2 linked regions of the Danio rerio genome follow. The protein of the gene in region 1 binds, or shares a complex with, the protein of each later gene. Links are inferred from orthologs where the notes say so. Each region holds a gene or a part of one and is shown on either strand. Other genes may lie near its edges. The genes, in order: lrp6 and sost.

Region 1 (16,306 bases):
TAGTGATAAAGTGAAGGCACAGACATGCGTAACCAAACACCCAGAGCAAGACTGGTGCATGCTGGGTAATGTGGGGGAGGGGGGGGGGGGTCTGTGCTGGTGAGTTTCCCTTTATGAACACTCAGAGGATCCAGAAGTGCTACAAACACACACACACACACACACACACACACACACACACACACACACACACACACACACACACACACACACACACACACACACCAATGCATTATGGGAAATCTAAAGCTTAGACCGGAGCTCTCTCTCACACATACACACACACACACACACACACACACACACACACACACACACACACACACACACACACACGTGCGCGGCTGCTCGTCCTCTGATAGCTTATAAATACAGGATATGTACAGTGTGCGGTATAAAAATAGCAGAGCTCTTCTGGCACTCATGTAGAAAAGTGGAAAACGGCGGCAAGAGTGTGTGTGTGTGTGTGTGTGTGTGTGTGTGTGTGTGTGTGTGTGTGTGTGTGTGTGTGTGTGTGTGTGTGTGTGTGTAACCGCTCAGGCACGAGTCGCCGCCGTGATTGTGTGTTACGCCAGCAGGTGGGCGGGAGGTGTGTGCTGATTGGCTCCTCCTCGTCTCTCATATAAAACAGTATAAAAATAAGCGCGCCGCCGCGTCACAGTGTAGAGCCTGCAGGGGGCGCCGCCGCGCGGCTCAGGAACTATTTGGCATGGACACCACACGCGTGTGAGTCAGATTAAGGCAGCGTGTGCGTGTGTGTGTGTGTGTGTGGGTCTGATAAATCTCTCTTCATCAGTGTCCACGTGTGGGTAACCGCGGCAACACTGTATAGAAATATATAAATATGCTCTTCTCTTACTGTACAGCGCCGCCAGAGCCCTCAGCTGTCCTTCAGCGAGACACAGTCACTTATATATATGTACAGAGGCAGTGGGGGCGGGGCCTGGCGCGCAGGGGGCGGGGCTCAGGAGGAGTCTGTGCAGGGCGAGGGCGGCGGCGGGTACAGCTGGTGCGAGTAGCTGCGCTCGGTGTACGGTGACGGCGGGCAGCTCTCGCAGTTCTCCTCCGCCGACAGGTACTGGCTGCGCGGCGTGGGCGGCGGCGGCAGCGGCTCCGAGTCGTAGTTCAGGTCGCTAGCGTAGCCTTTAGCAGCAGTGGCGCTGGATGCGTGCGGAGCCCGGCGGCCCGGCGTATAGTCACTGTCGCACACATCCGTGCTGCACGGCGTCGTCGGAGGAGCGAAGTGGCGGTAACTGTACGGCCGATAGCTGCACAACACACACATTAGCATGTTAGCATACAGAGGTTTAGCATTAAACGCGTGATGGGCAGAGGACATGTTACCTGTAGGAGCGGTGTGTTGACGGGCTGTTGGAGGAGTAGCCGAACTCCATGGTGTACTGAGACCTGACGGTGGCTGGAGATGGAGGAGGGTTCAGGATCTGCAGAACAGCAGAGACATTACACATACATCATCAACTCACTGTGTGTTATAGAGAGAGCCTCACACAGCTGAGTGGAGCTGACAAACCACCTGCAGGAACACTTCTCCATAACACCGCCTTCCCTATCCCTGAACACTAGAGGCCCGCTTCACTGAGTGCTGCAGGTCCGGTCAGATCAGGTCAGGACACTCTCATGGCCATTCCCACTGTCAGACGGTGCCTAACATTGAGTTCACACTGCAGGATTTAAACCCGATTGAGCCTGATTTGGAAGTTACCTTGCTCTCCGACAGATCGGCTGTGATTGGGGAAAATCTACAGGTGCTCAGCGCTCGGCAGTGTTTATGTGTGAACTACTGAACAATGCATCTAAGAGGCTCGCTGAAGCGTCACCGACACCTCACAGATGTAAATTTAATAATCTAGCATGCTGAATATTCCAGAACAGTCGGCCGACTCCACCCCACGCATGGTCAGATGTAGTGACGAGCCGCAGCCAATGAGAGAGCAGATCAGCATGTGCTGACTGGCCATGGTGCTCAGGAGCTCAACAGAAACGTCTGTGATTGGCCAGAACGGGCATCGATGCGCTCGCTTCATTCTGCATTAACAGACACGAGAGTGGGCTATATTAACAGCAGAACTATTAGATTACCACACTGCTCATCCTGACCGTTCCCACATGAGACGTCATATTTACATTTAAAGCTTCTATTGAGGTATTAAAGTAAGCTGTCTTGAATGTCTGTCATCATATTTCATGACAGCATTACACTGAAAGTATGATCTGTTCTGGTAATGCAGACTATTAATATGAAGAGATTGAGGTGAACACAGAACACCAGTGTCCATCTGCAGCTCCTTCACCAGACTCCACACTCATACACACTCGTACACACTCGTACACACTCGTACACACTCGTACACACTCGTACACACTCGTACACACTCGTACACACTCGTACACACTCGTACACACCAGGGCTCGAAATTGCGACCATTTTGGTCACATATGCACCCGAAAATTAATCTATGCGACCTCATAATATATATGGAGCATTAGTGCGACTGCAGATAATAGTTGTAGTGCGACCTGTTTTGATTTTTTGTAAAAACGTGCTGAATCGCTCTTCTCTGCCGCTATATTGGTTCATATTAGCTGTCAATCACTCAAGGTATTCCGCTGTCAGATGACAGGGAAGGAGCTTTTATGACCACGGGAAATGCAAATGGCTGAATATTGAAAACTTAAAGCGCACAGGTTTGCAAACCCCACCTAAAGTTGAGGCGCAGATGAGAGCGATCATGACACGTCACGTGGTGAATATTGATCCGCCAGCTGAGATCAATCGAGTATGCGCTTCTTGGAGAAGGTGCCCGAATCTCGATGCGTTCCGTTCACTGCGTGTTCAGCGCAAATGTCCGCTAAAAGTCAAATCTAATACTGTACATATCATCGCCAAAGAAGCTCGCCTTTACTAAGTTTACACTGAAACTGCGGCTCATAACAAAGACCGGTATTGCGCCGAAGGTTAGCGCAAGAATCCTGCTCTGCCTGCTCATAAATTGGGTCGGCTGACTCGCCTGCTTTTCCACTAACACAGAAAAATGAAGATCAGCTCAGACTGAACCTTTAAATTGACACAAACTGAAACCAAAACTTTTAAAGAGTGATAGAAGTGAGACTTTACTTACTTTCTTTTGTCTATTCTTGTTTGAGGTGTATATTATTTTTTTATTTATTTACTGATGACTGCTTTGCAGCTTTCATCATTGAATTGAATGATTTATTATAATCTTTTGTTTGTTTTGTAGCAGAAATATTATTTATTAAATTGACATGCATATAAAAACAGCAGCACAAAATAAATATTTCTTACTGCAATGCTTCATTTTGGTTTGATGCAAACTATACAATTATTTTTCATAAAGTAACAGACTTTTTATAGCAGATAACCTACATTCATGCACATTCAAGGCAGCATCATAATGAGAAATGTTATTCATTGTTACTATTATTGTCATTTTCATCATCATTAATATTCTATGGCCTAATTATTAGACATTCATTTTGGAATTATTGCACACAAATATCAAAGTCTTCGCAGCATTAGTTAGATAGCTGTTTCTGGTTTTTGTCAGTCCTATTGATGTTGTTTTAAAATACAATAAATCCCTTAAAAAACAATTTGCAGCGGTGCTCATTCATTTTTGGTGGTGCTCCTAAATTTTTTCTGGTGCTCCTAAATATTTGAAGTTGGGAGCACCGGTGCTACCAAGTAAAAAAGTCAATTTCGAGCCCTGCACACTCATACACACTCATACACACTCATACACACTCGTACACACTCATACACACTCACGCCATCAGGCCCACTCTCCTCACAGACACACAGCTTGTGATGTCGTTGCGATATGTACTTATATTTCTGAGCATCATCAGCCACGGCGAGGGCTGTGTGAGCATGCGCAGGCTGCATCGGAGCACACACACACACACACACACACACACACACACACACACGGGCACTTGAGGCAAATCAGCCTTAATGTGGAAGGGGGACATCACGGGCACAGTAACAGCTCTGGCAGAAGTACTGAAACAGCTGTGTGTGTGTGTGTGTGTGTGTGTGTGTGTGTGTGTGTGTGTGTGTGTGTGTGTACCGGAGGGAAATATGCTCCTTTAGTGCTGGACGAGCTGCTGGACGAGGCTCCGGTCACATGAGCGCGGTCGTACGGTGGTCCACTGCTGCCTCCCATGATGCTCAGCGAGCCCATGACTGACTTCCCTCTGGACATGCCTGAACACACACACACACACACACACACACAAACACACACACACTTTAATTATTCATGTTTATTGTTCATGAACACACACAAATAACAATAAAACACTCAGAAATAATCATATTAATCTCACACACACACACACACACACACACACACACTAGTATCTCACACACACACACACACTAGTATCTCACACACACACAAGCATCTTACACACACACACACACACAAGCATCTCACACACACACTAGTATCTCACACACACACTAGTATCTCACACACACACACACACGCTTCTCGTCAGTGTGAGTGTTGTTGGAGCTCCACCTGGCAGTGATCCGCTCAGGGATGCGGGGTGTGGGACGTATCCCAGCGGCACCGGCGGCGGTCCGTGAACCACGAAGTCATTGGTCATGGTGTCGGCGTCGTCCTTCATCTGCGGGCAGAGCACGCGCTGGCACACGAAATACACCGCGCCGACCACGAACAGCACCATCACCACACCCACGATTGAGCCGATGGTGTTAGTGGGAGCAAACGACGGCTCCTCTGTCGCATCTGAACACACACACACACACACACACACACACACGTCAGAGCACCATCATCATAAACACGCATCATCACACTCATCACTGTGGTAACCCTGCTGGGTGATCTCCATCACTCTGGGTTGATGTGGAGTCCTCATGTGTCTCTCTGTGTTTCAGGATTCTGCTGACTGATCTGACTCTCACACACACATTTAGAGGAGATGATCAACACACAGTGTTCAGCCGGACTCTCCTGTGCTGATGATCTGCCCACTGACCCCCATTATAACCACACACTCACCCCAGCACATCCACTGCTGCACTCACTGACATGAGGAGGACCAGAGTCCAGTTCTCCAGCTGATCATCAGCGACAGAGTCTGGCTTACAGACGGAGACAGAAACTCGCCAGCACAGGCTGATCATCAGCAGGAGAACTCACACTGTCCCCCTTAATCCCAGCAGGGACACCAGCATGAGTCAGTACTGCAGCGTTCTCTATATGATGAGTGAATGGGTCAGAACCGGCACCAGCATCACCACAGGAGAGTCGCTCCGTCCAGCACACAAGGGTTAAACCATTCATTCATTCATTTTCTTGTCAGCTTAGTCCCTTTATTAATCTGGGGTCGCCACAGCGGAATGAACCGCCAACTTATCCAGCAAGGTTTTATGCAGCGGACGCCTTTCCAGCTGCAACCCATCTCTGGGAAACATCCACACACACACTCATACACTACGCACAATTTAGCCTACTCAGTTCCCCTATAGCGCATGTGTTTGGACTGTGGGGGAAACCGGAGCACCCGGAGGAAACCCACACCAACACGGGGAGAACATGCAAACTCCACACAGAAACACCAACTGAGCCGAGGCTCGAACCAGCGACCTTCTTGCTGTGAGGTGACAGCACTACCTACTGCGCCACTGCCTCGCCCGGTGACACCACATCTGCAGTGATCATTGCTGTTTCTGGGCAGAGCTTTGTCAGATGTATCTACACAGTGTGTTTCTACACTCAGTCCTGGAGGGCCGCTGTCCTGCAGAGTTCAGCTGCAGAGTAAGAGCTCGATTATAGCCCAGGGGTGTCTGATCAGGGCTGGAGCTACACTTCGCTGGGCAGCGCTCCTCCAGGACTGGGTTTGGACACCGCTGAGGTAGTGTCTGTGTGCTTCATCAAGCTCTTACAGCAGCCGATCTCGTCTGAGTTGTCTGTGCAGTCCATGTTGTTGTCACATTTCTTGTGTCGGCCGATGCACTGTCCGTTTGAGCAGGTGAACTGATCCGCAGGGCACAGAACTACAGACAGACAGAGGTGAAGAGTCAGACTAGGCATGAGCTGATAACCGATTCACTGTTCACAGGACAGATGTCTGATCAGGTTTGTGTTTTTAGTGATGTCAGACGCCTGAACCCTGTGCCAGCGCAGAGCTACAGACATGTTCAACAGTAATGAGAATATATACACACACACACACACACACACACACACACACACACACACAGACACACCTTCACACTTGTTCTCGTCGGAGCGGTCCTGGCAGTTGATCTCTCCGTTGCAGCGCAGCGCCGCGTCCACACACTGCCGGCTGTCACACTGGAACTCCCGGCTGGAGCAGACAGGACAGTCCCGCTCATCACTGCTGTCATCACACTCCGCAAACCCGTCACAGCGCCACGCCTGCGGGATACAGTCCACCTCACCCGACACACACGAGAACTGCTCTGGAGAACACGTGGGCGGCTCTGAGGACACACACACACACGCACACACACACACACACACACACACACACCGTCATCATCAGCAGAGATCAGACAGAGTTATCCTGCAGATGAGCAGTGAATCTGTACATGAATACACTCTTTTAGTGTGTGTGTGTGTGTGTGTGTGTGTGTGTGTGTGTGTGTGTGTGTGTGTGTGTGTGTGTGTGTGTGTGTGTGTACCTCCGCACGAGAGCTCGTCCTGCAGCAGCACCAGGTGAATGGGGCAGGAGCAGCGTGTGGTTCCGTCTCCTTTCACGATGCAGATGTGTGTGCAGCCGCCGTTATCAGACGTGCAGGGGTGTTTACCTGTGCGCACACACACACACACACGTCATTACCGTAAAGAGCACTCGCAACATACTTGAACATTTATACTTTACTGTTGAGATTCCCGTCACACACACACACACACACACACACACACACACACACACACACACACACACAGACAGACACACACACACACACAGACAGACACACTCACACACACTCAGACTCACTGTACTCCTGCATGTCCAGCTGGTGGACGGCGTGGATGTCGCTCAGTGAGGCGATGCGCGCCTGTATTTTGGTTCGTCCCTCTCTCGTCACCTTGTGGATCCTCTCGATCATCTGCTGCTGCCGGTCGATCCAGTACAGGAAGTTCCCGAACACCGTCAAGCCCACCGGCTGCAGGATGTTGGAGTCCTCGATCACAATCCGATTGGCTCCTAGGCAGAAAGGGGCGGAGATACGGGTGGTCAGAGGCGGGGCTAAGCATGTAAATCAGAATCCCGAGCAGAGCTGAGCGAGAGGAGGAGAGAGAGGAGGAGAGAGAGGAGGAGAGACTAGCGAGAGGAGGAGAGAGAGGAGGAGAGAGAGGAGGAGAGACTAGCGAGAGGAGGAGAGAGAGGAGGAGAGAGAGGAGGAGAGACTAGCGAGAGGAGGAGAGAGAGGAGGAGAGAGGAGGAGAGACTAGCGAGAGGAGGAGAGAGAGGAGGAGAGAGGAGGAGAGACTAGCGAGAGCAGCACACGAGCACATGCGGAGGATGAGACAGACAGCAGATGACGAACATCATGACTGATCAACTATGTGGAACAGCAGAAACTCCTCGAGCCCTGTGCCACCCCTGAACCCTCATCATCATCATCATCATCAGTGTGACCTTTGACCTCACCGGACAGGTCGCTGCTCTCGATGCGCCGCAGGTCCATGTCCACCCAGAAGAGTTTGCCCAGCTCATTATCCACAGCCAGAGCCACCGGCCGGCCCAGATTACTGAAGAACAGCACCTCACGCTCCGTCCCGTCCAGAGCACAGCGCTCGATCTTCGGGGAGCGCTCCTGCAGATTACTGAAGTACATGTACCTGCGGACGACACGCAACACACCGTCACACACACACACACCGCTCAACACGCACTGACCAGCGCTCCCCCCACAGCATCACCATGATGAAGACCTGTGTTCATCAGACAAACACACACAGTCCAGAACCGCACCGTCAACACATCAGCACACAGCTGCGGGCAGAGCTACTCACCCCCTGTTCATTTCCCCAATCTCTGACTAGCGGAGAGCAGATTACCCCTGATCATGACAGTGTGAACAGCTGATGTGTTCCTCTTCTCCATGATGATGCACAGAATATTAGACTAGATATTCTTCAAGACACTAGTGTTCAGCTCACAGTGACATGTAAAGGCTTCACTAGGGTAATCAGGGTATTTATTGTGAAAGCAGTTACAGGAAATTACCAGAGTTTTCCAGGAGGAATAAAAACGGGATGTTTGGTCTGAAAGGAGTGTTGGCAGGTGAGCTGACCAGTTTAATATTGATCTGATCTGCTGTATAGAGATCAGACTGTTATAATCTAAGTGTAAGGGCTAATTATGCAGTTCTGTCGCCATCTAGTGGATGAAAACATCAGTTGTGTTTGCTCTACAGCAGGGGTGACCAGCGCTGCTCCTGGAGAAACACCTTCCTGCAGATTTCAGCTGCTCCCCATATCAAACACACCTGAACCAATTAATCAAGACCTGAACACCAGGTGATCATTACAGGCAGGTGTGTTTGATCTGCAGGATGGCGGCTCTCCAGCAACAGGGTTGGTCACCGCTGCTCTACACTATGGCTGGTTAATGGCCAGCGCTCTCAGAAACTGTAAATGTTTGAAATAGGCATTATCTTATAAATAAACCGCACAGTTGCAATCTAAACAACTGCATTGTGTGTGTGTGTGTGTGTGTGTGTGTGTGTGTGTGTGTAGAGCGGCTCACACTGAGCGCACAGACTGATTATCCCCATCATGGCATGTTGTCATCATGAGTGTTCATCGGTACACTGAATGCTAAAGCGTCGCTCACCCGCGCTCAGGGTTGACAGCGATGGCGCGGGGTTTGTCGTGTTCTCCGCGCAGCACCACGCCGACCCGCGAGCCGTCTGTGCGCGTCACGTTGATCACGTTGGTGAGCTCGCTGGTCCAGTAGATGAAGCGGCTGTAGATGTCGATGCTCAGGTCGTACGGCTGCAGGCCGAGGTTTGAGCCGCCAACAGCGCCGGACACCACCGTCACACTCTGCAGAAACACACACACACACACACACACTCAGGTCATGTGCACACACACGGTGGCGCTGCTCCATATCAGAAAGTCTAACCTAATATCAAATGCCCAACCCGAGGACTCATATGATGACAATAGCCATGGTCAGACCCAGAGCAGCAGTGTGTGTGTGTGTGTGTGTGTGTGTGTGTGTGTGTGTGTGTGTGTGTGTGTGTGTGTGTGTGTGTGTGTGTGTGTGTGTGTGTGTGTTCACCTGGTTCCCGTCCTCCTGTGCTCGGCGGATCACATTCTGCTTGGCGTCGATCCAGTACAGGTGCCGGTCCAGCGGGTCGTAGTCGATGGCGCGCACGTTCCGCAGGCTGTGGATGGGCAGGATGATGTCGGGGCTCTGCAGCTCGTCCATCACCATGCGGTTAATAGCCGTCTTCTGGCTGAACAGCAGGAACGACGTCGGCGCTGAAACACACACACACACACAGGGATAAATGATGGTGTACACACACAACCCTGTCGTTTAGTGTCGGCCCAAACAAACCAGTGATGAGTTCAGCTGCGCTCCCCATCAGGACAGTGTTGATCAGTCATGTAGGAGAACCAGAACACACACACAACCCAACCACAGCGAGCCAGAGCCCCGCCCCTCTGCTGCACCAGCAACACTGAGGCCAATGAGTGTGTGACGTCAGTGTTGATGCAGTAGTGGGCGGGGCACACACACACACACACACACACACACACTCACCGCTGCAGGTCTTGTTGTCGGTGTTGAGGGAGTAGTGGGCGGGGCAGCCGCAGGTGAAGCTGCACACAGGTACGGCGAGGCACAGGTGTGAGCAGTGGCCGTTGGTGGCGGCGCAGGCGTTCCAGCCGCTCTGCCGGGACGAGTGGAACACCAGGATGTCCATCACGTAGTCCAGGTGGCCCTGAATGACGGTGCGGTTCTGCCCGCTGGTCTTGTTGGCGCGCTCGATGCTGCGCTGGCTCCAGTCCGTCCAGTAGATGTAGTCCTGATACTGCGTCAGGCCGAACGGGTGCGGGAGATCATCCGCGATCACCTCGCGCTCCAGACCTGCACACACACATACACACACACGCAGACACACGCGCACACACACACACACTCATTATCCAGCGTTGTGTTTATTATAAAGCTGAGATGCTAATATCACACTGAACACAGGGACAGCACACATTCAATGAGTGAGTGTGTGTGTGTGTGTGTGTGTGTGTGTGTGTGTGTGTGTGTGTGTGTGTGCGTGTGTGTTACCCAGCATGTTGGAGGACTCTATGAGTGTGGTGTCGAGGTCAGTCCAGTAGAGCCGTCGCTCAGCGTAATCGATGGTCAGTCCGTTCGCTCGGCCCACGTTCGGCACCAGAGTGATGCGGCCCGACCCGTCCATCGCTGCACGGTCTATCTTGGGCCGCCCGCCCCACTCTGTCCAGTACATGAACCTACGCCACACACACACACACACACACTGATATTAGACCTTTTATTATATATAGTAATAGTAGCACACACACACACACACACACACACACACACATATACACACACACACACACACACACACACACACACACACACACACACACACAGAGTCAGTCGTACCCTTCAGCGGGGTCGAGGGCGAGTGCGCGGGGGCTGTCCAGATCCTTCCACACCAGCACCTGCCGGTGCTGCCCGTCCAGCTTGGCCACCTCGATGCGGTTGGTGCCCGTGTCAGCCCAGTACAGGTTCTTGCCCAGCCAGTCCACCGCCATGCCTTCTGGGTAATCCAGCCCGAACTCCACCACATGCTCCAGAGAGCTGCCGTTCATGAAGGCCCGACTGATCGTCTGAAACACACAACTGCACAATCAACAACACACACACACACACACACACACACACACACAACTAAACCAACACACTGCACAATCAACAACACCACACACACACACACACACACACACACACACACACACAACTAAACCAACACACTGCACAATCAACAACACACACACACACACACACACACACACACAACTAAACCAACACACTGCACAATCAACAACACACACACACACACACACACACACAACTAAACCAACACACTGCACAATCAACAACACACACACACACACACACACGAGCACACACACAAGCACACACACACACACACACACACAACTAAACCAACACACTGCACACACACACGCTGCACTACACAATAAACAACAGAATTCTGTGTGTGTGTGCAGTGTGTTGGTTTAGTTGTGTGTGTGTGTGTGTGTGTGTGCGCTGACCTTCAGTGTGATGTCGGTCCAGTATATGCGGTTGTCGTGTGTGTGTGTGTGTGTGTGTGTGTGCGCTGACCTTCAGTGTGATGTCGGTCCAGTATATGTGGTTGTCGTGTGTGTGTGTGTGTGTGTGTGTGTGTGTGTGTGTGTGTGTGTGTGTGTGTGTGCGCGTGCGCGCGCTGACCTTCAGTGTGATGTCGGTCCAGTATATGTGGTTGTCGTGTGTGTGTGCGTGTGTGTGTGTGTGTGTGTGTGTGTGTGTGTGTGTGTGTGTGTGTGTGTGCGCGTGCGCTGACCTTCAGTGTGATGTCGGTCCAGTATATGCGGTTGTCGGTGATGTCGAAGTCGAGGGCGGACGCCTCCTTGACGCCGGTCAGTGGGATGGCCACGTTGTTGTTGTTGGTCTCCAGGGAGATGCGTCTGATGTCGGTGTGGCGGGAAAACAGCAGGAAGGCCTCGGGGACGATGCAGGTGCTGAGATCCGCCATCAGCTCCAGGCCGATAGGACACGCACACGACACACCCTGAGGCCGGTACAGGCACAGGTGACTGCAGCCGCCATTAGCCCACGCACACGGGTTCACCCCTGCGCACACACACACACACACACACACACACACACAATCAAGTATTTTAAAAATGGTTTATAAAAGGTCTCTGGTTTGAGTCTCGGCTGGGTCAGTTGGTGTTTCTGTGTGGAGTTTGCATGTTCTCCCCGTGTTGGTGTGGGTTTCCTCCGGGTGCTCCGGTTTCCCCCACAGTCCAAACACATGCGCTATAGGGGAATGGCAAACGCCTGGAAGGGCATCCGCTGTGTATAAAATATGCTGGAATAGTTGGCGGTTCATTCCGCTGTGGCGACTGCTGATTCATAAAGGGATATTAGCTGTTATTAGCGGTGTTCTCTGAATGGAGAGGGTTTGTTTGACACATCCAATCATGCTAAATCTGTTGTGTTATCTGACAGAACAGGAGCGCTCTAAAAGTAGCCGGTTCTCCTTTGCTGTGTAATATCCCTCCGCCTGGTGCAGCTGCGACATGTTTTATTATGTATTTAGTATAGTTCCTGTTAATATTTGCCTAGAGAACACATCTTATACATATGAATGAATAACTCTTTAAATGAAATGCTAATGGTCTAATCTGATTCTACTCATTATGCTAAGCTAAGCTAAAACAAGAGACCGGCTGAAGTCATTGAACTCTGGGAGACTCGTGAAATGAGGCTTTTCCAAATACAGGTGGAGTGATGCAGTAATGCGCTGTAGCGGATTAGCATTAGCATTAGCTTACCGAAGGTCTGGTGGACGAACGTGGCCTTGATGCCCATGAGGTCGGGCAGCTGGTCGATGATGACCTCCCGCTCGGTGCTGCGCTTGTGCACGCGCTCGATGCTGCGCCGCTGCCAGTCCGTCCAGTAGATGTAGTCTCCCAGCAGCGTGAAGCCGAACACATGCGGCAGGTTATCCTCCAGCAGAACCCGCCGGCCCGAACCGTCCATCTCCATCACCTGCAGGACAACACACACCTGCTCATCAGCGCCGTGTCAGGACACTTGAAGGAGAGCCATTCTGAGCCTTTATACGAGCTGCAAGACACGTCTCTGCTGTGTGTGTGTGTGTGTGTGTGTGTGTGTGTGTGTGAGATCTGACCTCGATGACGTCGGTCTTGGCGTCCCCCCAGTAGATCTTCCTCTCGCTGTAGTCGAGCGCCAGGCCGTTGGGCCAGCCCAGAGAAGTGTTGACCATCACCATCCGCTGCGACCCGTCCAGAGCCGCCCGCTCGATCTTCGGCACCTCGCCCCAGTCTGTCCAGTACATGTATCTGCGACACACACACACACACACACACACACACACCATCAGCTGCTGAAGACACTGCACTCCTCCTGTCCTCCTGCAGTGTGGTGTTCCTCTGGGCTCTCTCAGCTCACACCAGCTCTGATATTCGCACTGATCTTACAGTTCGGCTGGAATAACAGCAGCGTTTAGTGTAAAACACATGCTGATCCGCTTGTGTACAGAGTACTGCGCTGTGCTGTCGTGACTCGGCTGATTGTCCTGGCTCTGAGCAGAACACTGGTGTCTCATAATACTGAACACACTTTAATAATGCAATGCTGATGCTAGAACAGGAGTGTGCTGCTGAACTCTGCCCCTAGAGGACGGGCCCTGTACTGCAGGCTTTCTGAAATAAGCGCGTCTCACCCGGCGACGGGGTCCAGCACGATGGCTCTGGGCTCGTCCAGATCCTCTGAGATCAGGATCTTCCTCATGGTGCCGTTCAGTCGGGTCACCTCGATGCGGTCCGTGCCGGTGTCGGTCCAGTAGAGGTTTCGTGCGATCCAGTCCACGGCGATGCCGTCCGGGTGGTTCACCTGCGAGGTCACCACCAGCTGAGCGTCGCTGCCGTCCAGGAGGGACCTGCGGATGGCGCGCACCTCGTCGTCCGTCCAGTAGATGTGTCCCTCCACCGGGTCGTAGTCGATGGCGATGGCGTGCCGGATGTCCTCGGCCTGCAGCACGATATCAGTGAAGTCCGGCGTGTCCAGAGAGATCCGGCGCAGGTCTGTGCGGCGCGCTAGCAGGAGGAGCTGAGACGGGCCTGCAGGAGGAACCAGAATACAGGACTGATCAACACCACCTCACGGACCCTCACTGTGCTGTATGCAGCGGTACTGAACATTTAAAAACATCCCGTCCACACACACACACACACACACACACACACACACACACACACACACACACACACGAGCAGCGTTTAGTGCGGTCAACACCGCTGATTGGCTGTTGTGTTGTGGAAATGACAGTGATTGGCTGTGAAGGGGATCAGTTCACCATTCTTCAGTGCACAACACACACACACACACACACACACACACACACTAGGGCTGCACTGACCCTGATAGCAGGATCAGATATGGGTTTGATGCTGCATATTGTTGCTGGATCGGGTACTGGCCTGCTGGTTCTGATCCAAATCTGATCTTGTGTGAGGGAGTTAGTGAGGGATTATACAGTAAAGCTGGCCTCAGACGGTTTAGTGGAGTCTGCTCAAACCTGCAGGATGATGACTTTACTCAGTCCACACTTCAGTGCCATGACCAACACTCAAACACTGCAGCCTGTAGAGTCCAGCAGCGCCATGCAGCTCAGAGAGTGTCGTCTGCCATGTTCAGCGGCCTGTAGATGTGCTGCTTTACTAGAGAGGATATAGAAACTGTATAATGCTCAAACCAGCACAGTGTGGAGATCAATACTCTCTCACACACACACACACACACACACACACACACACACACACACACACACACACACAGGGAATGAATGAATGGAGGCCGCGGAACACACAGATCTCCCATCAGGCCGTGCTGCGGTGTTCATTCAGAGGGGGAGGGACGCACACAAAGACCCTTACAAATGAGTCTCTTTCAGCCCGAGCCATTCAACTAGTGCAGAGCGTTCCCAGCAGCCGCAATCACTCACCGCACACACACACACACACGCGCACGCACAGACATACACACACACGCGCTCACATTGGAGGATCACACGCTACCATGGCAACCACCGGATGGTAACCCTCCACGGCAACCAGAGAGAGAATAATGCAAGATGACGGATGATCGAAAACACACACACACACACACACACACACACACACACACGCACACACACTCTCTCAATCAGTAGGATAGATCTGAACTGATGCAGTCGTCCATCATGAGTCCAGCAGTGTGTAGACTGCAGTGTGTCCCGTGTCTGATCAGTTGTTGTGGTGTTCATAGAGTTACCCATAATCCTTTGCTGTGTACTGCTGTCTCACACACACACACACACACACACACACACACACCGCACGACACAAACATCAGTACAGGAAGCATTGTGCAGGTGTGTTTAGGGTATAAAACAGTCATCAGCCCCTGACAGAAGAGCAGCGTGTGTGTGTGCGTGCATGCGTGCGTGCGTGCGTGTGTGTGTGCGTGTGTGTGTATCTCACCGTCTCTGCAGCTCTTGTGGTCCTCCAGCAGCTGTACGCCGGTTGGACAGGCGCACTGATAGTAGGGTTTGGCCGGAGACAGCAAACACAGATGAGAACATCCTCCATTCCTCACAGAGCAGGGGCTCGCCACGTCTGACACACACACACACACACACACACACACACACACACACACACACACACACACACATGAGAAGACACGTTGATGAAGCGGTCTGTGTGGCGGCTGTATAGTTTAGGGTTAGGGTCAGCAGACGAGGTGTTTACTCTCTGTGTTCGCCGCTGTGATGCTCTTCAAAATCAAAAACAGAGAAGTAGGACGTTTCCGGAACCACACCACATCATTAACATCATTCAGTATTAGAAACTAATTATTGTGATTATTTGAATGATTAAGGACTTGTAAACCCATTCACCAGCGTTAATGAAAGTGTGCCGCATCTGCTGCTGCTGTCCATATCTCAGACCGCTCTACCTGTTAAAGTGGAGTATCACTGATGGCAGAACACGGACAGCTCGACAGATATCATGACAAGAAGAAAAGCAACAGACGGCACTCTTACTAAACATACAGATGATTACTGCTGATGTAGCCCGCTGCACTGCTCACACATGACTGACCATCATCACCACTAAAGCCGAGAGCAGAGCCGGAGCGTCCATAGAGGCGACTGAGGCAGCCACCTAGCGCCGCAGTATAGAGAGGGCAGCGACCGCGACACCTCCCTTACCACCCGCGTCCTCAGTTATATCCGCGCATAGGGCGGCAGAATAGATGTCTGCGACACCTCACTTCATTTTCATAACCGGTCACTTGCGTTTTCACATTGGGGTTGAGGGCGGCGTGATCGTCCTCTGCCTAGAGCAGCAGTTCAGCTCGCTCTGGCCCTGGCCGAGAGGCCGGCATCAGTACACTGAGGATCAAATAT
Region 2 (17,004 bases), on another chromosome or scaffold:
GCTCCATAACCTTTCATTTACAAAGGCAGTGTCTTTAATTTTGGATGCTTATAGCCTGACCAGAAGGAAGTGACATTCTAGAGTGGTTCAGTGAGATTTCTTTAATCGCTATCATGTGTTAGAGGTCCGTTGTGTACCACTGAAGAGGTCAACCTGTGTGCTTTTAGACACTGGAAGGTAAATATGTCATTTTAGGTTAAGCTATGAATTATTCAACAGTGACTACCTTTAATTTACTGTGGTAAAAGTCAAGTGGATAACGGTTAAATGACACTTAGAGTTCTACAGCCTCCTCTTTTTCCCAAGGCTTCACACATTCAGCCCAAATTGAAACTAACCTCAATTTTAGTTGTTGTTTTTTTGTTGTTGTTTGTTTGTTGATTTTTGTTAAAATCTAGATTTATCGTTAGGATTAGTTGAGTAATGAGTTGCCAGTACTTTCTTGTTTTGTCTTTTTTATATAAATATCCATCATTAATTATGCAATATATTGTTTTAAAGTACTAGAAATACCAGAAATACCAAAAAAAGTTAAACTTTTTAACATCAAAAGTAGCTGGATAAAGGTTGTCCCATAATACAGTCTTTAAGTTATGTGAGATATCAGCTTAAGTCATAAACATACCTTTAAGCTTATCTGAGCTATTGCCTGCTCGGGCTGACAGGGTCTCTGGAGGAGTTTTGTGTCTGAGAGACTGTGGAGCAGGCACAAAAGTGTTAAACACACACTGAGGAGTGAGTCCCAGCTGACCTCTCTCACACACTCCTGCTTTCCCTGTGGCTGTGGAGGTCTGTGCCAGGTCCCTGCCGAGTAACCACTGCAAACAGGGGCCATAACTGAGGTCAGATGCTTTGTCAGCATCAATTTATATAGGAGCTGCTCATGTGACACATTTAAGCATTTGTTCTTGAATTATGTGGAAATGATTCTGCCTGCCAGCTACTTTTGAACAAAAGCATGGCATGTCAAGTGGCCACAAATTTGGAACGATTACATTAGAATTGCGGGAAAATATGTTCCTTATAGAGTGCATTAGTGCCTGTCCACTTTTTCATCAGCACTGGTTCCGGAAGTATTTTTGCAATTGATTTTACCCAAAGGGATTTTACAAAATGTCCTTGTTCAAAGTGTTATAAGCCATGAACCAAACCAAACAGCTACGAGTGGAAACGCAACAAATAACACAGTTTGTTTCGAAGCATGGACGTATTAGGAAAATTGGACAAAAAAGTACAAAAAGTACAAACTGTGAACTCAATGGCTTGAGTGATGCAAAGGAAAACAATCCCAAGAAGCAAAAGAATACAGCTATTTATTTATAGTCGTTTTTTAAATCTATAGAAACATTATGGCCCCCCTGCCTCTTCCCCTTGGCTCTTGAAACAGAGTGTGAAAGGAAAGGGCTCAATGATCGAGACTGCTGTGGTTATTCCGGTTGTGTTATTTATTGGGGGTTTATCTTAATAACGTCACCGAAGGCAACAATATCATGTTATCATGATAATAAAACACAAACGCAAATGTATTAAAACATATGCTTGTTTGTCCTAAAAATTCATAATAATGACGGAAAATACTAATTTGTATATCTCCTGACTTCCGAGTGATGCTGTCGTTGTGGCTAGTGTATTCTGGAAAATTTTCTTACCCCTTGGTTTTGAGTGTAGTCCTGAAAAATCTCTCTTTCTGGGTATCGTGCCCTTCCCCTTAGTCCTATGCCTTCAAGCTAGAGAATTTGGACACCCTTACCCCTTCATGTGAACGCGTTAGTAAGGGCTAAGGGGTAGAGTTGGGATTGGGCCTATATTTCAAGTATATTGCAAAATATGTGTGTATATACCAACATAGGCTTATTCTGAAAACGTACCTCTATATATGTTTCTGGAGATCGCTAATTAAGTAGCCCGAGCTACGTATGTTTGCTTTTCATCTCTAAAACTAACACTACGGGGTGGTATGATGCCATTCCTTTTCACGCTTACTAGCTTATCTCCATATGAACAGCTTTTCTGCTGTTACCAGTTTGTCCAGTAGCTCGACAAGTACGTCTGCGGACTTGAGATGCAGAATGGAGTTGACAGCAACAACGGGGTTCGAGTATGGTGAGGAACGGTTCTTTAAACCAGGTAAGACAAAAACAAAAGCTAAAAAATAAAATAAACAAGTAAATAACAGGGTAAGAAAGTGGTAAAAAAAAATCAGGGGGCTTTTCTTTTTCTGGATTGCTTTTTAAAACACTGTGATTGGGTTTAGGCAAGTGGGTGGATGGGTCAATCTGTGCTTTTTAAAATACAATTGGTTGGGTTTAGGGAAGGGAGAGGGTGGAGGAATCAGTCGATTGGTCAGTCAGTCAGTCTACAGTAGCCTTTGGTGGATTTATGTGAGAACAGCAGGCATGAATGGCACTCCAAGAGAAACTTGAGACCTGAAAAAGCATACACAGCGGCCTCTGGCAGATTCGCAAAAACAAAAACAAACAAAAACTGCAAAAAACGTAGCTCCTGGGATGTATTTTGCTCTCTTGAGTAATGTATATAGGGGTACATTTTCATGAGTCTGGGTTGGTATATACAAGTATTTTAGTACTTTTAGACTGTAGAGAGATCAACTTGATCACATAATTAGTACTGTTTCATTGGACTCCTCTTTAATCTCTCAGCAAGCATTTTTGTAAAGATGTCTAAAGAAGATCTATGGTTTGGCATCGGCTAGGTCAGTTGGCATTTCTGTGTGGCGATTGCATGTTCTCCTTGTGTTTGTGTGGGTTTCCTTCTGGTGCTCTGGTCTCTCCAGAGTCCAAAGACATGCGATACAGGTGAATTGAATAAACTAAATTGGCGGTTCTGTATGAATGCAGAGTATATGGGTGTTTCCCAGTGTTGGGTTGGAGCTGGAAAGGCATCCACTGCATTAAACATATGCTGGATAAGTTGGAAGTTCATTCCGCTGTGGCGACCCCTGATGAATAAAGGGACTAAGTCGAAAAGAAAAGGAATGAATGAATATCTTTTAGTCTCATCGAACAAGTATATGAACAAGTCATTTTGTTTGGTTTACAGCAGCCTGGATCCAGTTAGACTAATATAGTGATATGTTTCATCATGAGCCAGCTCTCAAGTGTGCAACAAACAAGATTAGAAGGGCTAAAACAAGTCAAGCAATCCACATTTCCTTGTCAATCTATGGCTCAGACTGTGCAAGCTTAAACAAACAAACAGATGAATGGAAGCCTGTGGGTTGAGTTCAACATACCGGACATAAAGAGCTGGTTCTGTTGTGACTGTACTGTTCACGTCTGACGAGGGGATTCTTTCCTTTTCTCGCCTTTTGTAAAGGTGTTTTAGACATTCCAAAGTGTTACAAAGCCTCTACTTCCTAATTGCAGAATATTGTTTACAGAGGGCTCATTGAGGGACGGATTTAGAGTGCGGGCACGGCCCAAAAGGAGAAAGGATCTGTCAAGGCAGTCTGACAAGAATGATAACAAAACACACTTCTTTTCACATATATAGGTTGCTTAACTTTATTCATGTACTCTTTTTTTTCGGTATGAAATTCACTATAATTACATATAGTACAATAATGGCTATTATTTTCTACAAAAAAAAAAAAAGATTGCATAAATAATTTAAATGATAAAAATACAAAAATAAATACACAGTTCATTCTTTGTAACAGTCTTTTGGTCTGAAAGAGGATCCATTGGTTGAAGGAGGATACTGCTCACCACACAGACCACACAGGTATACTACACAGGTATACCACACAGGTATACTATGTACAAGTTACTATTCACGACAAGTCTGCTTACATTATAAGAAATCCCTTCCAGTTGCTATTTCAAACACACAATTGAAAAAATGAGCAAATATCATCGAGGTGGGCAGAAAAAATGTTGAACAATTGGCCTTCTCTGATCTCTGTATCCTGTGTAGAATCAACATCCAGCCCACGATTTCAGAGATTGGTTCACTTATTTGTTTGTTCTTTTCCGGTCATGTGTGGAAACAGGAAGGATGACATCTCTGCTGAAGACTTCAGTAATGGATGTAGGTAACCTGCTAGCGATTGCAGATAGCTGAATATCTCCAAATGGTTTCCATTGAAGGAGGGTGCGTAAAGGTTATTTGCCCGCGAGGAATTGCTGCAGATTCGTGCACACATGTGGGCCTCTTTTTCGGGTGTTCGAACAAACAGGAACTGACCATGTCTAGAGGAAATGGCTTTTTATGACTCAAATCCTAAACACAGGAATGGAACTATTTGGTAATTAGGACAAGTCACAGGAATACCGTTTGCTGTTCTCGACCTCCAGGGACTTGGACCGTGGAGGGCTGACACAACTTTCCGAACTCTCCATAAGGCGGCTCTAGCTGCCAGTGTCGATAAGTTTCTTGTGGAAATGTGAATTTGCAGACACTCACATGGACTCCCCAGCCTGTCAAAAAGGACCTGGTAAAAGTGACCAAGGTTAAGAATTCTGGGCTTCAGTGGTCTGTCAGCAGCAGCGTGTCTTTTGGGCCAGACGCGGCTGAGCGCTCAAATCATACACTGCTCCGAATCCCAAAAGAGGACAAATCTGGTGCACAAACATTCACATGAGCACTTGCTGGACTGGTGGAGCACTCAGTATGCTTGCCCGTAAGTTAGCCTTTCAATGAACTTCGGTGAACTTGAAATGAACCGCTTGAGCAGGAATATTCCTCCTCCCTCAAAAAATCACATTGCCTGATCTAATCTCGCATAACAGCGGACGTCTTTTCACTCAGTCCGCTGGCATATTGTGATCAAACTGGGACGATTTAGGCTCAAGAGCACATACAAACAGCGAGACATCTGAAATACATTGGAAACTTGTTAGCATGCCAACAAGCTTGGTAAATGCTAATGCGTTTATTCCTTCCCTTGTAGATGAGGATTGCAGTTTCTGTAATATGTGTGCATATGTATTGGTGTACTTTCTTTTTTTTTTGTATGTGTGCAAGAGAGTGTTTTCTGTATCAGTTCTGCATCTTTTCCCCTCAGTATGAATTGCTGTTGATGGACGGCACTTTGCTGCGGTGCTTCTTATTGCGCCGTGGTTTCTTGGACGACTCTTTGACATCCGATTGGTTGTGTTGTCGAGTGTAGCGTTTGCACTTGCAAGATGTGACAACTCGTATTTTGTATGTCCGGTTTGGTCCGTTTGGACACTGGAGCTGTATCCGCTGGGTGCGGGAGTGAGCAGGGATGCAACGGTAATCGGAGGAGCTGCTTCTCCACCATTTCCCCCGTAGAATTGAGTTTGGCATCAGGTGAGCTGGAAGGCACTGACCAGAACACACAAGTTCCTTCACGGGTTTGACACTGCGGCAAGATCCATCGGTCACATATCGGGTCGAACGCAACTCCCGACAGCTGAGTTCTGAGGCTCCTGGGAAAGAAAGCAGAAATGTTTTAAGCGGTACATCTTTAATAAAACACAGCTACTAACCATGCACGAAACAAATTTTTCATGTTTTGTTATATATACAAAGGCATTAAGTAGATTTCCTGAACTTGACTTTGTTGTTCTTTTGACAAGTTTCCCAGACAAATGTTGTATGTCAAACTAAAGAGGAAATGCATGATCAAATCTTTTTATATCAGCACAAAATATGCTTTTTATTTATTTATTTTCTTTAAGTCTGGTTTGGATTTATGCGACAATTTGTTAAAGATGAACTCTTTATTGAGGCTGGAATCGATGAGAAGCCAATCAATTATAAACCCACAGACACTAAACCATGTACCAGATTGTTCTGATAAGTGCAAATAAGGACTGAATATCCATGAAAGACAATGAGAGACTTCTGGGTGTCTTGGTAAGCTTGTTGTTTTTGTAAGCTTTGAATTTAGCGCACACTCGCTTAACTGCCTTAAACTACATCAACAATGTTTTCATTAATTGTCATTTAAAGAGATGAAACCGAGAGTGGAACGGGCTCCCCTCATAGAGGGGAACAAAGGATTTATGTGTGTGATGAGTTCACGTTCTGCCTCCCCTGATTCTCAGAAAACCTGATCTGATGTTTTATGAGGAGCTGGGAGAGAGCCAGAGGAAGATGAACATATCTCAACATGACCCCACACTGACCACCAGAGAAACTACACACGTCACCCCTTCCAGAGCAGCACAGGACGGTGTGAGATCTCTCTCCACCCCCTAATGAGCCAGTTAAATGTACATCCTTGGCTTGATAACTGTTTCCTTATGGCGAAACGCAACATCATAGGAGTGTTCAGTGACATAATTAGAGATTGTAAATTATCTTTGGATTGCGCAAGCCTTAAGTATTTTTACTGTTTATTGTTTTTGTGATAACTTCGTTATTCTGTTCACGAAGGAACTCTTGTTATTATTATTTTTGGATGTATTGTGTGCATTTACTTAGCAATAAATTTAGATGTTGCAATTTCTCAAACGCACTTTCCAAGACTTTAATACAAAGTCTTGATTTGTGTTCTGGAAACATGCTGTGGTTTACTTTTTTGTTAAATCCGACATACATAAACACTCTCACACAGACACACACACACACACACATTGTGCAGTGTTAGAATTCACAGTAGTTTTACTTTCCACAGGTGGAAGTCATTCCCTATCATGGCAATACCCTGAAGAAATGACCCCTTAGAATAACTTCTCACATTTTCAACTACCCTGAAACCATACTGTTGCAATTAGATGGTTATGGAAAGGCATACCTTGTCTAATTATGTAAAATTGGGGATGCAGCAAGACAAAAAAAGGCTTATTATAGTTAGTGCATCACTTGGCCTGTAGAAAAGCTGGAATGGCAGCCTTTCAGAACTTTTAAATCAAGTCAATATCCCGTTTTTATTATTATTTTTGTGTAGCCTTCATATAACCTACATCACATTATAAAGTAGGATAAATATGCAACATTGTTGGTCAATTTAGCAAATTTTTGATTATTATTATTATACACTGATTGCTGTTATCCTGTAAATGTAATTTGCTGCCGCCTTTCACACTTTAATAACAAGTATCTCTCCAAATCGGTAAAATGGAATTTGTGTAATATTTGTGTTATATTTGACACTGTTTTTTATATTAATTTAATACATTTTAATACGTTTCATTCTTATCTTAAACACACATTTCCCTTATTCATTTAACTCACAAATGCTAATGCACAAAGTTTTCTTTAATGTTATATTCCAATACCTGGAATACTGTAAAGCAATAAAAGTTCAAATAAGTAATCACAATAAATAATATAATTTATAACACCAAATTAATTTTATTTTAGATTTATTTGATTTGTTATTAGTTTGATTTTAAAAATGGTTTAAAATAATCTGAGCATTTATAGCTTGTTATTAACCACCCAATAAATCACATTTAAAGAAGAAAAATCATCTTCTAAAATTGAACAAAATTACAAAAAGTATATTTATGCTGGCGATGATCTACTTCGTTAAGCTTCTAATGATTAAATAACAGCTTCACGTTACTTACCATAAGTCCGTGTGTTTGCTGACGACCGCCTTCCACCGTTCTTCGCCCGATTCATTGTGTTATTGTCAGACAGTTGTATCTGCTCCTCGGGTTTGTGCGTGTCCTCCGCGTATTCTGGTATAATTTCTGTAGCATCGTTTTTTAAAGGCCTCCATCCGTGCGCAGCTGTGAAACATCCCTGAAGCAGCAGCAGCAGCAACAGCCGCGCGCCGCAGTGCACGAGCGCCAGAGACACCTGCATAATACAACTGAGAACGAGCCGTTCAGCGGGCAAACTTCGACCAGTTTTCTTCTCTTCGGGAGAGGCTTGCCTTTTTAAACTACCACAGGTTTTGCAAAAAACCCAGATAATTTAGCGCTTACACGAAGTGGGAGGGATTTAGGCAGAGCGGCTCATTCAGAAACTGATAGGGAGGAAGGGGCACGCGCAGAAGTGGAAGGTCAACTTGGAGAGAGAAAAGTCGTTTATTTGAGTCGTTACCTCTGTTTCATACTTAGGATCACACGGTATTAATAATCAGAGATTTGGACATGATTTGCAGTGCTATTTGTGTAGCTTTATGTTTTTTTTTTTTTTTTTTTTTGTTTTTTTTAGAAAAAGTTACTTTTAATTTTTAAAGAATTTTGTCTTTTTAAACAGATTATTGTTGGTTTTTGCAGAATACATTATATCAATACGTTATATGAATACATTATAAAAGCGAAATCTTAAACATTTAAAACTTTTTTTCAATATATTATACAGTGCAGCCTAGCCAGGCTGGTGAAAAAGGTGGTTCTTTTTTCTAAAAAAAAAAAAATCTATAAAAAATGACCTTTTTGCAGTTATTCAACTAATTTTGTATTTATTTAAATTTTAAATATTGCATTTTAGTGACATTTTAGCTGGATTAGCTTGTTGGATGGTCATCATAACCACACTTTTTGATGTACCAAAAACATTTCCTGAAGGTTTAGAATGAAGAAATAAAAAAATATATATATTTATATATATTATTTTTCATTTATTACATCATATATCATTACAAAAAAAAATCTGCTAAAGTCTTAAATCAAAAACTGCCTATTAAGGTCAAGAAATGTCAGTTATTAGGCTAATAATAATCTTCGATTAGTTATTTACACAATTTATGATGGCATAGCACGACAAATGAGCCCATGTATGGGACAAATTTAGGACCTTTGTCAATGAGGGGTGAGTCTTTCGAACCAACCCAACCCCACCTGGCTACGCACCTGGGTTATTGACCTAGGGTTGCAACATTTGTATGACAACTGGAAGAAATTGAAATTCTACGACATACATCTAATGTTTAACGTTTGAAATTCTTATTTACATGACATGAAATTAACAATAAAGTGTCAAATATTCATATAGCCTTAAACCCACTGCGAAATAGCATTCCTATTATTACTATTATTCTATATTCTTCTCATTTGTAAGCCAAGTTATCAATTTCAAATGTAATAATAATATTGCTTAATAATAATTACTACTGCTGCTACTATTCAAATGTACACTTTTATACACAACATTTTATTGCATAGTAAAAAAAAATCATTCTAATAATAAATATTGCAACTTCTTCAGTTTGCTCTGTTTTTATTAATAAAATAAACATATATTTTATTGGGCTGTAAAAAAATATTTTGAATAAAAGTATGTTATTTTTTTATTTATATTTTTGTTTTTTTGGTCTGGCCATAAGGACTATTATAAATAAGCAGTGGGACCCGCACAAGGTGCAGATGCTTTATGTCATCGTTTTAGCATTAAATTAATCGCTTTGTACAAACACTGCCCTCTTGAGGGAGCTCAAACAAACAAATACCTTGAACAGCTATTAGTGTATGTCTCTCTTCTGGCCTACTGCACTAAATGCTGTGCTCCTCCTGTCTATTTTATTGCATTATTTAATTCTGCATCAAAATGCTAGAATAACAAATACCAAGCATGAGACTGGCTGAAAAAGATCTTCTAATGCTATTGAGCCCACCAATCATATAAGCTTAAACCACCAGCAGAGAGAAAAAAAGCAGGAAAGATGGAATTCTTCTGAGATCTATTGTAACTCTTCGTCCTGTCATCATGAAGAAAAAGAAAGATCACAATGTCCACCACAGATTGTAGCCTACGCTCTTTTCCCTGTCATTCACTGGCTGTTTTTATATCTCTTTGGGTTTGTGCACAGAAAACACAGTCTCCAGGCTTGCTTTATCAAGATAGCAGCCCGAGCATAAATAACACTTAGATGTGTTCCAGATTTACAAGGGCCGCCAGCAAAAGATATTTTTATAAAGAATAAGAAAAGTAACACTGTGTCAAACCCACATAAACAAAGTGTTTAACTCATCGTGGACTGACAGGGCTTGACTCTTAATGCATATGAAATGCAAACATACATGCAACCGAGCATTAAAAGTTTTTAGATAAGAACTGGGTCAAAGTTGAGAAGAAATGTTACCCCTGCAAAAACAAAAAGTGATCTCTGCCCTGCGAACAACTTTATGCTACCAGACACTGATGTTCATTGATGATGCAAAATATTTGGCTGATCCCATATTTTTTAATTATTATATTTTATCAATAAGGAAAATTATCATATACATTTATTATTATATAAATTGGAGTATTTCCTCTGGCTGAGCCTCTTCTGAAAGACTTTCACTGTGAAAAAGCTTTCAGAAATGCAATTAACAAGTGATTTTGAGAAAGGTCAATTGCTGCTTGTTGTTTTCTTTTTTTAAAGCTCTTAAAGGCACAGTTCACCCAAAAATGAGTGAGTTCTACACCTTTATGAGCCTTTTCTGTTAAACACAAAAGGAAGATATTTAGAAGAATGTTAGAAACAGTTAACCATTCATTCATTTTTATCGGCTTAGTCCGTTTATTAGTCTTTTGTCGCCACAGCGGAATGTAACGCCAACTTATCTAACATATGTTTTACGTAGCGGATGACCTTCCAGCTGCAACCCATCACTGGGAAACATCCATACACACTAATTCAGACACATACACTACAGACAATTTAACTTATACCCAATTCACCTATAGCACATGTCTTTTGACGTGGGGGTAATCAGAGCACCAGGAGGAAACCCACACAAACACGGGGAGAACATTCAAAATGCACACAGAAAATGCCAACTGACCCAGCCGAGCCTCGAACCAGCAACCTTTTTGCAGTGAGGCGATCGTGCTACCCACCCACAATGTGGCCCACAGTTAGCCATAAGAAAAACAAATACTAAAGACGTCAATGTTTGCCAGTTCCCAAGATTTTTCATACGAACTTATTTTGTGTACTATTCTACAGAAAATGAAACTCAAACGGGTTTGTGGCAACAGGTGAGTAAATGATGACAGGATTTTCAGTTAATGTTGTTATTCTCAGTTGAGTTTTTTACTCCACGAATGCCTTTTCAACGGCAACCCAGTACTGGTAAACGTCCATAAACACTCATACACACTCATTCATCACGGCCAATTTAGTTTATTCAACTTAACTATACCGCATGTCTTTTGGATCTGCGACCTACTTGCTGTGAGGCAGCAGTATCATATATATAATTTAAAAATGTGTATTTATAATTGTATTTATATTAGCAGTATCAGTGTTGGTCAAAATTTCCTTATTGGTTCATTCCTAATATTTATGTGAAGATAATTAGAATATTTTTGCAGGACAATAAAAATGATGTGATGTTTTTATATGCTCCTGAATCAAACTAGTCTCTGAAAACCAGAACTATAGTCTATCTCAAATGCACTTTATAATTCAGGGTATCTACAGGGTCTTAAAAAGTCTTAAAATGTCTTACATTTCGAAAACCAAATTTTAGGCCTTAAAAGTATTATTTATTTATTAATTAAATAAATGGAAATTTTGTCTTGTAGGTCTTAAATAATTTTAAACGGGTCTTAATTTCCCTATGTCAATGTAAAGCTTTACCAAATTGGGCCAACACCCATCCAATCACCAAAAATATGTTTCAATAAGAGTTTTAAGAAACATTTATTTATTATCTCTATTTACGTATTAATTTGGTTTAATTATCTTCCTTGCATAACATTTATTTTAAATGTTGGTAAGACTTTATTTTGATAGTCCATTTGAGTAGACTAGCTGCTTAATATCTGTAGATGCTGCTACCAAAACAGACATTTAACTGACTATGAGAAACTTTGCAAGTACATGTCAACTTACACTAACCCTAACCCCAACCTAGCAGTCTACTCATAATCCAATTGAGAATTATTTGGCATGTAGATGCAATGTAACTTAAATTCAACAAACAGACCATCAGAATAAAGTGTGAAAGGTTTTAACTTGGCTATTAAAAAATCTTTGACGTTTAGCCTTGTGTAAGTCAGAAAAGGTCTAAAAAAGTCTTAAATTTGACTTGTTGAAACATGTAGAAACCATGTAATTAAATGGCAATTTTTGTTACCGTATCTGTCAACGTAATGCCAGAAAACAAACATTATATTAACATATAATTATGAAATTTCAGAAAAGTGAAACACCCCTGTTATGAGATGTTTACTTAACTGCTGTTTTCTCATTAATTTTGTCATTTTTGTGTGTGTTTATTTTGTTTTTAATAGAAAACCTTGTTGAAAAAAGTGGACTGCATCTGGATGTCCAGAATATCCCTGTAAAGGTATTTACAACTGCTTTACTTCTAATCAAAGAATAATAATTAAAAATGTTGTGCAGTACATGAGCACTAGTGCAAGCCTGAGTATAAGTTGCTGGCTGCAGTTTACTTAACAGCGCCACTAAAGTTTGCTAAAATCTATGTACATACAGTATACTGTAGCCCTTGTAAAGATTGTAACTTGTGTCTCCAGTATCTAAATGACATATGTTTGGCTTTTATTTACAGCGCAATTTACATTTATTTACAATTTCTTACATATGTCACAAACTGTGAAATTTGAGCCTGTGATAATCCAAAACTTTTTTACACCGAATTTAAGTCATCAAACAGCTCAGGCGATAATCTATTAGGAATGTCATAATAACATTTCACAAAGCCTGCTAATGGATATATTATAAGTGTCTCTGGATGTAAAATGAGATACTGTAGTTTTGCTCCAAAGCATCAGTGATTTCTACTTTCAGATGTGCAGATTACATTATTTTCAGCTGTCCTGGGAACTAATGTCTCATTTAGAAATATAGCCCTGCAAATATTATTATAAATGAGGCATCTGCGCAGTGTTACCGAAGAAAAATTTTATGGATCATATTTTATAAAGCACAGCTCCCCGTAGCATGTGAACCCACAGTCTTATAGTCATACCTCACATCTCTGTCTGCCAAGTCATTTGCATTTGTCATTAGTAGCGCATTTTTCATACTGGAAAGAATAGTCTGATGATTTAACAGAAATACAAGCACATTAGGTGTTTAAATAAGCCATGACTAGCTGAATCATTCTGAAGTCCAAATCATGTTTTTTAAGAGTTCATTTGAGTTTAAGAGCCGTGCAAAACCTCTGCTGTGGTTTCTCTGTGCATCTCGGCAAACTTTCCTGACCACTGGGTTCATGTGTTGTTAACCATCCTGTAACCACTATATGTGGAGTTGTAGAGTATTAGCAGTGCTGCCACAAGTGCACTTGTAAACATTCGTCACTTAGCGCTTTATTGAGTCTATTTATCCATTGACGACCTGTGCACTGGTGAGAAAAACACACTATAGCCAGCTTATGAAGGAAAGGGATTTGGGAGAAACAATTGGACATTGCTTACAACTTCAGTAGAACTGTTTTGAGAAATGTAGTGTGTCATTGTGCTGTGATTTGTTACAATCCAGATTGCAAAATTTCAAAAATTATTTATTTATATAATCAAATCAGGTCCAGGATTACTGGAAGTGATATTTAGCAGAACAGCGTCACACATCTTGACATTTTCAAGTGATTTGGCTTTGTCATGTGCACAATGTGCAATTATAGATACCATGTTTGTTTAAACATAAAGTTGACCGTTTCAGTATGGTGTAAGCTTGCACCATTGTAGCTGTTGTGACATCCAAAAAGTTTCTTTCATTAGGTATAATGTGCACTTTGTTTTGTCAGTCCAAATGAATCCTATTTGATGTCAGATAAAACAAAATCAGTTTTTAGCTAAAAGAATGCTAACAGATATGGATTTTAAAATGGTTATTTTCCTCCACTGAGCACACTGTAAATAAAATCCATAAAATTTACTGTAAAAAAATGGCATCTGTGGTTGTCTGAACTTTACCATTAAAAATAATAATAATTCCTTACATTTAAATAGTGTTTTTCTGGACATTTAGAGTGCTTTACACGTTGGGGGAATCTTTTTATCCACCACCAGTGTGCAGCATCCACCATGGCAGCCATATTGCACCAGGCTGCACACCACTCACCAGCTGATTGGTGGAAAAGGAAACAGAGTGATGAAGCCAATTATGGTATGGGGATGGTTAGGAGGCCATGAGGAAGCAAATTTTGCTGGGGTTAAACCCCTACTCTTTTTCGAAGGGCATCCTGGGAAGTCAGAGAGTCAGGACCTTGGTTTAACGTCTCATCTGAAAGACAGCGCTCACTGAGCAGTCCCCTTCACTATTCTGTAGCATTAGGACCCAGGTTGAGCATCCCCTGATGGCCTCAATAACATCACTTCCATTAATTTATAATGTTATACACCAGTGTTTCATGGTTATGACACCTTTATCTTCTGAAGAAGTCATATGATGAACCAAAGCTCATCACAAACAACTTTTCCCAGGAGCAGAGAAAAACATTAATATATAGAAGATGCTCAGTGTCATTCACACAACTACTAAACACTATCATGGAAACACATATAATAGTAAATCTATAAACATTATTTATCAGCAATAGATGTAATAAAAAGCTTGAATGTACATTACTCAAGATGAAAACAAAACATAAAAAAGTAGCAATGTCAACAAAAATGCTTAAAAAGTGAAGTGTCATGCAGGGAATTCTATACAGTCAATATACAGTTACTAACCTTTGTCACAATCATTAGCAATTTAATCTGTATAGATCACTGGTAAACACGCAGACTGATATAGAACTACAAATCTGCCATTATATGGACTACAGGTCTAGTCATGCACTGCTCACATGCACCTGTTCCCGATTCTCGTGATTTGAATTGTCAAAGACTGATTACAAGGACTATTTTACAGCTCACACACAGACACATCAGTGCCGAGTCTTGTTTATCTGTTACTGTGAACATTACAACGTGTTTCTCTTGTCTTGCTTTGCTATGTTTTGACCCTCGCCTTGGTTGTTTATTTACATTGTCTGCTATTAGCTTGTACTGACCATTCACCTTATTGACCACGACTCTGGATTGCCCGTATACATCTGTTTGTTCCTGTGTTGACTGTTGCTTGCCTTACCATTCTCCTAATAAACCTTGCATATTTAATTAAAGCCTACATATTTAATTTTGTTTGTTAAGCACAAAGCTTTTTCAAAACTATTTTTAAATTTAGTTTTCATTCCCAGCAAATGAATAAATGAACACTAATGTGCTCAAACAACTCAGTTATAGTCAAACACATGTCCTATTCTTATGCCCCATGTGGTGACGTGTACGTCTCCAAAAGGTGGATAAATCTAACCTAGTTTTTATTAAAACAAATATAAATATGCATATAATAAATAATACTACTAATTATAATAACTTCTTACAAATACAAATTGTCAGTGATGGGTTGCTGCCGGAAGGGCAACTGCTGCAAAAAACATGTGCTGGATAAGTTGGTGGTTCATTCTGCTGTGGCGACCCCTGATTAATAAAGCCACTAAGCCAAAAAGAAAATGAATGAATGAATGAAACTGAAAAAAGCCCCCTGCCATGGAGGCAGTGGTTTTTATATTTATGTAGAAAATAATAATTTTTGTAGAATTTTAATCCTGTAATTTTTTTCATTTGTAAAGATATTTGTGTGTTGCTGTACATCCTGTGTGCATTAAGCAATGTGTAAGTGTTGCCCACATAACCCACATAGATGCATAACTAATGCACTCTGCGCTGGACTTTAGACCAGTTTTTAGCTGGTCAGTGGCGCAATTCAGTTCCTCAAAATAGCAATGAGCCAACAATGTGCTTCAACACACCTCCTTTTTAGACTGGAACACTATGAGTTCACAATGTGGTGCAAATGGATTTGCTATTTAAACAACGTGGCGCAAAACATAACAACAAATATTGGCATTCACATTTTGCGCCTTAATGCGCCGGGTGTATGATAGGGCCCATAATCTATATGTAAAGTTACCATCACTCTACACTTTTTGCCGTATGGACTTCCATTTATACGCATGCGAAATACTCTGACCTGCAAAATCACATTATGGGATTTCATGAGACACACAAAAAAGATGACCTGAAGAAACATGACCTCTCTGTGCAGAAATGTTAAATATTGAGCTATCTCTTGCTTTATCAATGGCTAATCATCTTGTTTTATGTTTTGTCGTACGGCGATTTTCGCAAGCTCAAACTCTATTGTGACTGCAGCTTTAAAAAAATTTTTTCTGGAAAATCTAAAGTATGTGGATCAGTAATACACATGATATTTTGCAACAGTTTTTGTTGCAATTTCTTTTGTACATGAATAATTTTTTCATAAGGTGTTCATTTTCAGAGTGAAAATGTCTGTGGATTTATTTGGAAACTGCAAGTGACTGTTAAAATCTAAAGCAGGCTTTAAGTGCATGAACATGCAGTTCGACGATGTGCTCTTGAGCGTCATCATTTCCCAGAATGCTTGAGGAAGGTGCGTTAATTGGCCATGAACGTATAAAAAGGCTCAGCTGCTGAGCATGCAGGAATTTATTTGGCTTCTAAGAGAGGGAGGGGAAAAAAGGAAGTTATTTCAAGAGCACGTTTCAAAAAGCTCCGCAAGTTTGCTTTTTTATGGGATCAATAAAACCAGATAACAAGCATGTGAAAATAATCTTGCTCTCTGGTATCTAATCCAATAAAGACTAATTATAAGCAGGACTAATAAACAGGGTCATGCCACTGGCTGTCATGTGAAGGTAGCTGATGATGGAGTAGCAGGAAAGATATTCCCTCTGGCCACCCACACAGAAGAGAAAATAAACCTGCTTTGGGAAGGGACAGGTTTCAAACACCTCACAGTGTGGACTTTCCTTTCGTCTGTTTTTGTCCATGCTGTCCATTTGTCATGGACTGCCAAAGACGACAGATGTGTACGTAAATCTAGCTTTGCGCTCATATATTGTTGCGACCTTCTTCTTTTCAGTTTCCTTTAAGTCAGAGGTCACTTGAAAAGGTCATTTCTGTTGTCATCATATGCCGTTATTTAATAATGCTCATACAAGAGTGCTATTTTAGTGTGTTATACAAAATACAGGCTGTAAATCCAAAGCAAGCAAATTAAGAACTTGAGCAAAAGTGTTGATATTCTATTAAAACATTACTGCAGTCAAAATATTAAATAAACCT

Evidence for each region.
Region 2: the proteins of lrp6 (region 1) and sost are in contact, whole or in part, in a crystal structure (PDB 6L6R), measured with the Homo sapiens proteins. The link is inferred for Danio rerio from reciprocal best matches to the Homo sapiens genes LRP6 and SOST. Residues at the interface, in NP_001401174.1 of Homo sapiens: Arg28, Asp52, Val70, Ser71, Glu73, Leu95, Ser96, Asp98, Glu115, Arg141, Trp157, Trp183, Asn185, Ala201, His226, Phe228, Trp242, Met269, Arg336, His361, Asp379, His404, Asp406, Thr422, Glu447, Arg449, Trp465, Trp491, Asn493, His534; in NP_079513.1 of Homo sapiens: Leu115, Pro116, Asn117, Ala118, Ile119, Gly120, Arg121, Arg169, Thr171, Arg172, His174, Asn175, Gln176, Ser177.

Annotation. Positions count from the first base shown.
Region 1 is NC_133179.1:161,238-177,543, reverse strand, and holds the end of lrp6 (low-density lipoprotein receptor-related protein 6 precursor), read right to left. Parts: intron 15,510-16,306; coding exon 15,373-15,509; intron 13,975-15,372; coding exon 13,577-13,974; intron 13,194-13,576; coding exon 13,022-13,193; intron 12,880-13,021; coding exon 12,663-12,879; intron 11,956-12,662; coding exon 11,666-11,955; intron 10,926-11,665; coding exon 10,699-10,925; intron 10,539-10,698; coding exon 10,354-10,538; intron 10,156-10,353; coding exon 9,829-10,155; intron 9,543-9,828; coding exon 9,340-9,542; intron 9,099-9,339; coding exon 8,887-9,098; intron 7,890-8,886; coding exon 7,699-7,889; intron 7,252-7,698; coding exon 7,042-7,251; intron 6,848-7,041; coding exon 6,722-6,847; intron 6,521-6,721; coding exon 6,284-6,520; intron 6,071-6,283; coding exon 5,960-6,070; intron 4,797-5,959; coding exon 4,566-4,796; intron 4,247-4,565; coding exon 4,110-4,246; intron 1,443-4,109; coding exon 1,345-1,442; intron 1,269-1,344; coding exon 965-1,268; downstream 1-964. UniProt on the Homo sapiens protein: Component of the Wnt-Fzd-LRP5-LRP6 complex that triggers beta-catenin signaling through inducing aggregation of receptor-ligand complexes into ribosome-sized signalosomes.
Region 2 is NC_133187.1:29,153,503-29,170,506, reverse strand, and holds sost (sclerostin), read right to left. Parts: upstream 7,833-17,004; 5' UTR 7,747-7,832; coding exon 7,506-7,746; intron 5,415-7,505; coding exon 5,023-5,414; 3' UTR 3,511-5,022; downstream 1-3,510. UniProt on the Homo sapiens protein: Negative regulator of bone growth that acts through inhibition of Wnt signaling and bone formation.